2 linked regions of the Sus scrofa genome follow. The protein of the gene in region 1 interacts with the protein of each later gene in a pairwise test. Links are inferred from orthologs where the notes say so. Each region holds a gene or a part of one and is shown on either strand. Other genes may lie near its edges. The genes, in order: SETDB2 and ARL14EP.

What was found.
Region 2: the proteins of SETDB2 (region 1) and ARL14EP interact in binary tests that used the Homo sapiens proteins (3 or more experiments, as listed by UniProt). The two-hybrid records come from large-scale screens. The link is inferred for Sus scrofa from reciprocal best matches to the Homo sapiens genes SETDB2 and ARL14EP.

Annotation. Positions count from the first base shown.
Region 1 is NC_010453.5:18,260,144-18,263,968, reverse strand, and holds part of SETDB2 (histone-lysine N-methyltransferase SETDB2), read left to right. Parts: intron 1-245; coding exon 246-339; intron 340-2,978; coding exon 2,979-3,304; intron 3,305-3,825. UniProt on the Homo sapiens protein: Histone methyltransferase involved in left-right axis specification in early development and mitosis. Specifically trimethylates 'Lys-9' of histone H3 (H3K9me3).
Region 2 is NC_010444.4:30,298,018-30,301,842, forward strand, and holds part of ARL14EP (ARL14 effector protein), read right to left. Parts: intron 2,830-3,825; coding exon 2,702-2,829; intron 891-2,701; coding exon 662-890; 3' UTR 1-661.

The sequences.
Region 1 (3,825 bases):
GAATGTCTTGACAGTCCTTATAATTTTCATAATTATGGCTCAGTTAAATGCCTAGGAGTAGAACACAGCCAAAGGGGCTCAATCACTTTCAAGATTTTAGGATATCAGCTTTGAGGTTTTCAAAACTAACGTAGTAGCTACAGCCTGTGAAGATTGACACTTGAAGAGAGAAGCCTTACTGCTAAACTAAATTATTTTTTAGTTTCATCTAGAAAGAAACGACATCATCTTTGTTTTCTTTTAAGGGATTTTCTTCCTCAGAGTCTCTCACCTCAGAAGATAATGGTGGCTTTAAATCAACTCAAGTACATCTGAACTCTCCAGCCAAGGAAATGAGAAGTAGGCTTTGTTTCACTCTGTGATTGCCTGCCTCTTCTGCCTTTTTGTCTCTCTTGCTCAATACTTGTGGCTCATTTTTTTCAGACTCCATAACAAAAATACTGCATTAATCACAAGTTTCTACTTATCTAGATCAGAGGTTAGCAAGCTATGATTTGTGGGCCACATCCAGCTCACGACCTGTTTATACATGGCCTATGAGCTAAAATAGTTTCTACTTTTTTAAATAACTGAGCAGAAATGAAAAGATAAATAATACTTTGTGGCACTTGAACATTACAGGAATTTATAATTTCAGTGTCCATAAATAAAGTTATATTGGAACATAGCCATACTCTTTCATTTTCATATTGTCTCTGTCTACTTTCACACTATAGCAGCAAAGCAGAATAGTCACAACAGAGACTATGTGACCCACAACGCCTGCAGTATTTACTGTTTGGCCTCTTACAGAAGAAGTTTGCTGACCCCTGGTCTAGATGCCAACTCTGACCTGATGCATGGCAGGAACATGGGCTGGACAACGCTGAGTCTACGTAGCCCATCTGTGGCTTTGGAAGCATTAACCAAAACAGCCATTTCCTACCTCTTTGTTTAGGCTTCTTTAAAAATAAAGGTACATCATTCTGCAGTACTCTAGCCAGTGATGCTGCAGGGGATGCTTAGCAAAAGGTGAAAATATTGCTGCCCTGAGTGCTTGTCTTTCAGTGTTACCAGTCCCACCGTGGTTAATATCACAACCTGATGAACCTGGATTTTGGTTCATTTACATTTCACTCTTTCCCTCAATGGGAGGCATGCTGAGAGATGACCCTTTTTGAAGAACTGACTAACCACTGCCTCTTCTCCCTTTGGGCTTCCTTGTTTCTGCATCCCCAACTCCCCACCTGATCTTAAAGGCTGGAGATTGGAGGAGGCAAGACAGCCCCTTAACAGAAAAGGTCTGTCAAGAAAGGGCACTTAGGAGTTCCTGTCATGGCTCAGTGGTAATGAACCCAACTAGGATCCATGAGGACACAGGTTTGATCCCTGGTCTCTCTCAGTGAGTTAAGGATCCGGCGTTGCCATGAGCCGTGGCATAGGTCACAGATGGTGCTTGGATCCTGGGTTGCTGTGGCTGCGGTGGAGGCCGGCAGCTGCAGCCCTGATTTAAGCCCTAGCCTGGGAACTTCCTTATGCCACAGGTGTGGCCCTAAAAAGACAAAAATAAAAAGGGCACTTAAATAGAAGAAGAAAGTCTCTTTCCCTACCCATCTTAAGTTGTGTAGCTGGGATCCTATAAATTAGACTGATAAAAGACAGACTGGCAAGAGAAAAACAGAAGTGTATTACTCTGTGTATTATACTTGTAACACACAAGAGTACTCAGAGATGAGTAACTTGAAGAGGTGGCTTGAACTCTAACTTATCTAGCATTTCAGTAAGGACAGTAAATTTTTAGAGGAAATGAGGAAAAGGACCTTGCGTCTCTAGGGGTAGTAATTGTGGGAAGGCAGGTATATGTGAAACCGATTGTAGGTCCAAAGTTGTCTCTGGTAATTAACTTTTGTCCTTCATAGTAGGAGGAGGGACACCTTTGTAAATTTATATCCTGCTTTTAGACAGATTGGGAGGGCTGAGAGTTTTTCCTGAATTTCTGCTTAATTGCCCTTAGTTCAAAATAGTTCTTATGTCAAAGATGCATATTTTAGGATGACATTCTAATATGTCACCATTTAACACCTGTGAGCCATATGAGTACTATTGCTTTTGGTTCTTTTGTCATTTTTATTGACCATGTGTATATAGCAGGCACTACAAAAATTAATTATGTACTGTTATGGCTTACAAGCAACCCATGATTAAATTATAAGTACATGTAGAAACAGCCAGCAACCGTGATGATTACATCAAAAACATTAATTTTAGAGAAGTAGAATTTCTTTGTGCCACTGAATAACGTGGCACAAATAACTTAAAAAAATAAATCATTTTACTTCTGTTTGACATGCATGCATACTTTTGAGTATTTCCAAAAGATTATTTCCATTATTGATTAAGAAAGATAAGTAATTTGTCTTCTTCTATTGTTTGTAGAGGTATAATTATTGAATGATCATATAGCAAAAATGCCAAACACTAATGTATGCAGAACCCATAGCAATAGTTATTGCTGTTGGGACTTAGAGAGGGCGACTCCATCAGGGTCTTCTCTGGCCTTTCATTGATACCTTAAAGACTTACAATGCTCCCTAATTACAGCCGTTTAGAGTATACTTGAATGCACATTCCAAAGTTGAAAAGAGGTAAGTCAGTTTCTAAGGAGTAGAGATTAAATATAGTAACCGGGAGCAACATATATACAGATTCATTAAAAGGCACTGTTACATAGTAGAAAGAAGGTAGATTTTGGGCCAGATATTTTTGGGTTTGTTACTGCCCCCCACCCCCACCCTGCCTTATTATTGCAATAGAGGTGAATCCCTTAACACTTCAAAAGTTCAGAGTTTTCTTTTGTAAAATTGGAGTACTGTCTACCTTAACACATGGTAAGGATTAGCAATAATGAATGTAACGAGCATTTAATTAGTATTACTGCTCTCAGCACTATTGCTTAGTCAAGTATTTTTCCTGACAATTCCTTCCAAAATGTTTATTAGTGGATTCAAGCTCAAACCAAGTTGAAGATTCTAAAGCCAACCCTCTGATTGAATTGGATGTGATAGATATAACTAAATGTAGAGAAGAAACTCCACAGGGGAGCAGATATAACCAAGCAGTCACACTGGATAATCCGAATGAGGTTCAAAAACAAAAGCCCCAAGAGAAAAAGTCTCCAGCATGTCAAAACCAGCAGGCCTTTTGTGATAAAGAGATACCAAGTGAAACCAAGAATGCTTCACCTGATTCTCCAAAGAAGTTCAATAAAGGCAGTATGTTTTTATTGGATGCCACAAAAGAAGGAAATGTGGGACGCTTCCTTAATGTGAGTATGTGGGCTGAGATTCTTATTTCTAAACACTTTTTCTAGGCTTCTTAACAAAATCATGAGGAAAATATGATTAACAGACTCCAAAACTAGACTCCCTGGATTAGAATGCCAGCCCTCCACTTGTATGACCTGGGCATGCTGTTTGACCTCTCTATGCCATACTTCCCACCTCTATAATATGGAGATAATAGTAACACTGTCTAGAATGTTGTGAAGGTTAAATGTGTTAATATAAAAAGTGCTTAAATGGTAGCTGGCATACAGTAAACGTTTGCTTAGGAAAACTATAAGAAATGGTATGTAAGAAAATCATGTGTTTATCAAAAGGTTTTCAAAAGCTTCACTTCAAAAAAATCACAATGGGACAGGTGGAATAGGTTTCTCTTTTGTGTCTTATACAATGTATTTTATTCAAAAATGCCTCTTTTCAAATACTTTCATTTGGAAGTATTTATGTTTTACTTACTCTCACTACATTTTGAGTGATTTAGTGGCTTACTACAGAACACCAGTAC
Region 2 (3,825 bases), on another chromosome or scaffold:
TGAAGTCTCACTGCTGGCATTATCATTTTCATTTCTTCACTGCACTTTCATCTTTGTTGGCCAATTCTTCTCATTATCCACTTTGTAAAATGTCACATGGGTGACAAGGAGACAACACAACTATGTGCTTTGCTGTCTGTAAATAAACTGTAACAGATGGGCAGTGACCAATCTAGCAGAATTTGAGAAAAGTAACATGACTGGTCACTGATCTTGAAACACACCTGTTACTCACAAAGTGATATGTGGACTTAAGAACTAGCAGGAAGTCTGCACTTCATGTAACTACTGAATTAATAATATACCATGGTAACTGAAATTTGAACTGTGCTGTTAGGGAACTAGTTTATCTAACTAAGTCATTGTCACTGAAATCTGTGGACATGGGAACTGTGCAAATCAAGGACTGCCTATACACTACTTGTTTATGTGGACATGGACAGGCTTAAAGCTGACTGAGTAATAAATAGCCCATCTAAATTTATACCAAATAATGACTCTTAAAGCACTCTACAAGCAACATTAGTGCACATGGAGTGCATGTTGAGATGGTTTTCAAATTTTCGTCATTTGGCAATCAACTTTAAAATGTGTCTTAGAATAACAAAATTCTAGATATAGAGAAGGGACCTTTAAAGATCCCCTAATTTGATACCACAAGTTATCCAGCATGTTTGTTATGAATTATTTCTCCTCCTTCGATTTCAATCTGCTCATACAGCCACTTGCGGTCACAGCGGCATTCGGCTCCACATTTGGTAGAACCACAGGCAGGACAAGCATAGAAACATCCTAAGCAGTCTTCATCGAGGCAGTCGCAGAGGTCCATTCCACTGAAAATGAGGAGACCCTGGCTATCATAGACCTTACTCTTCGCTGGGATCACTTGTCTGTAATACAAAACACAAGGTGAGTTACACCTCACAAATACATTATTTCTGAATATCTTACTGAAAATAAAGTAATGAAAAGATTTTAAGGAGATAAAATGTTTTGAATTAGGGATGAAATCCTGCCAAATCGATACATGGCCTACCAGATTCATGGCTACTCTACAATTAGTAGTTAATGAACTCCTTGTGAAAGTAAGAGATTTATTTCACTCTTAAAGCATTAAGACAAATCCTAAGGAATGGACAAGAACTGTGTCCCAACATATTAAATTTAAAAATTATTTTCCCCTTGCAAAAAAAAAAAAAAAAAAAGGCTAGGTAATAATGGTATATTATTTTATTAGCAACCAATCTCTTTACTGCTTTGTGAACATAGTTTTTTTTTATGAGATACTATTCAATTGTTTTTATACTATAATTAATCTGTTTCTTGTTCTTTAATGGACTCTAGCAAATCTGGCCTAAAAACACATGACTTAATGGAAAACTTTAACAGATGGAATAAATGGCATATGCAGAAAAGAATTCTGAATGATTACACTAACATTTCATTGTCAATTTGTATTTTAGAAATGTTCAATTTAAAAAGTCACATTCTGGGAGTTCTCGCTGTGATACAGTTGGGTTAAGAAATCAACTGCAGCTGCTTGGGTTGCTACAGGGAAGTGTGGTTCAATCCCGAGCCAGGCACAGTGGGTTAAACAATCCAGCTGCTGCAGCTTGGATTCAATCCCCGGCCCAGAAACTTTCATATGCTGCAGGTGTGGCCATATTCTGGAGTTCCCTTGTGGTGCAGCAGGTTAAGTAAGGGGCATTATCACTGCAGCAGCCTGGGCTTCTGCTGTGGTGTGCATCTGATCCCTGGCCTGGCCTGGGAACTTCTGCATGCTGCCAAAAAAAAAAAAAGTCATTCAAAACAATTTAGAATTCCTGTTCATTCTATTGACTGTACATTAACGGTTTCTATTTTAGACACTTAAAAAATAAAAACCACCTTTCATTCTCATAAAGTTTATTTTTTAGCTGCCACTCATAGAGCAGAGATATACCAATTACATATATATACCAAATATATATACATATACATTTTTTGGGCTACACCCATGGCATGTGGAGTTTCCCAGGCTGAGTCAAATTGGAGCTACAACCCTACACCACAGCCATATCAATGCTGGATCTGAGCCATGTCTGTGACCTACACTACAGCTCATGGCAATGCCAGGTCCTAAACCCAATGAGTGAGGCCAGGGATTGAACCCATGTCCTCACGGATACTAGTTGGGCTTGTCGCTGCTGAGCCACAACAGGAACCCCCCCAATTATATATTAATGCTTTTCAAACAAGTGAATTCATTTAATTGTAAGAAGCGTATGTTTAAATTATTTTAATTCTTGTGCCAAAAATACTGTATTGCTTCCTTCATTGATATTTTCTGAAAAACAAATTTTTAGAGGGGAAGGGAAGCCTTAATGTTACACGAGGCCCTTAGAGATTCTTACTGATTCATTCCAGATTTTCTTTTTTCCAGATTATCTTTTTTATTTTTTTTTGCTTTTGAGGGCTGCACCTGTGGCATATGGAGGTTCCTGGGTTAGGGGTCTGATTGGAGCTACAGCTGCCGGCCTACACCACGGCTCACAGCAACAGCAGATCCTTAACCTACTGAGCGAGGCCAGGGATCGAAGCCTTAATTCCAGATTATCAAATTTAAAATGTCTAACCAGAAAACTCAAAACTTAAAAGAAAAATATTTTAAAAATACACATGTGAAGCAGCAACACATGCCTTAAAATTACACATAGCCTACCTGTCTGAACCAGCAGTTGCATTTTTTGTAAGCCTTCTTTTTTCTCTTTTACCAGTTTCTGGAGCAAATTCAGTTTGTTTTCCCGGGTTTGCAAATTGTAATGACCTCAAAGCCTTAGCAGTTCTTCCCTGAATAAAGGTAAACAAATTATCAACTCAAATCTTGATACCAAAACCATACAAAGATTAATATTTCACTTCAAGTTAATCCAGATTATTCCTTAACCTGGAAGACACTCTGGAACTCACAAAAAAGAAAAAAAAGGTTTTAGTGCTCGTATGCAACAAAATTTACATGGCCCTGGACCACATTTAAAGTTCATTGATTAACTTATTTATAACTGTTTCTTTATCTAATTTTAGTCTCTGAATATTAGAAGAGGAGGCAGGCATGGTGAAAATCACAATGGCTGCTGCCAACATGGGAGAGAAGGCAGAAAAACTGTATAACCCAACAGCATATATAGCAGAGGTTCCCAACAAGGATGTTGAGTCCTTAGGAAAAAGTTCTATTACACACATATTTTTTTTTTCTTTTTAGGGCTGCACCCTCAGGATATGGAAGTTCCCAGGCTAGGGGTCAAATTGGAGATGCAGCTGCTGCCTATGCCAGAGCCAACAGCAATGCCAGATCCAAGTTGCAACTGCGACCTACACTGCTGCTTGCGCCAACACTGGGCTGGATCCTTCACCTACTAAGCAAGGCCAGGGCTCCAAGCTGTACCCTCGTGGATACTAGTCGGGTTCTTAACCAGCTGAGCCACAACAGTAACTCCCTATTACATGTATTTTTAAAAGCAGAGAATATAGTTCTGAAATGGTATTATAATCGTCTAAAAAAATTTGGTGAAATAAAATTTTGATGGCTATGGGTTCATAACCTGGGGAAAAGAAAAAGGTTTATGTAATACATTCTACATGAACAAGAGATAAATGAAGTGGAAAATGAAGTGACAGTAGCAAGTACATAGCATGAATTGCAAAATAACATTGGGTCCTAGAGATAGGCCTTTGAGGGGATAACAAAAAGAAAAACACTACAGGAGTTCCCGTGGTGGCTGGCACAGTAGTAATGAACCCGATTAGTATCCATGAGCTCACAGGTTCAATCCCTGGCCTCACTCA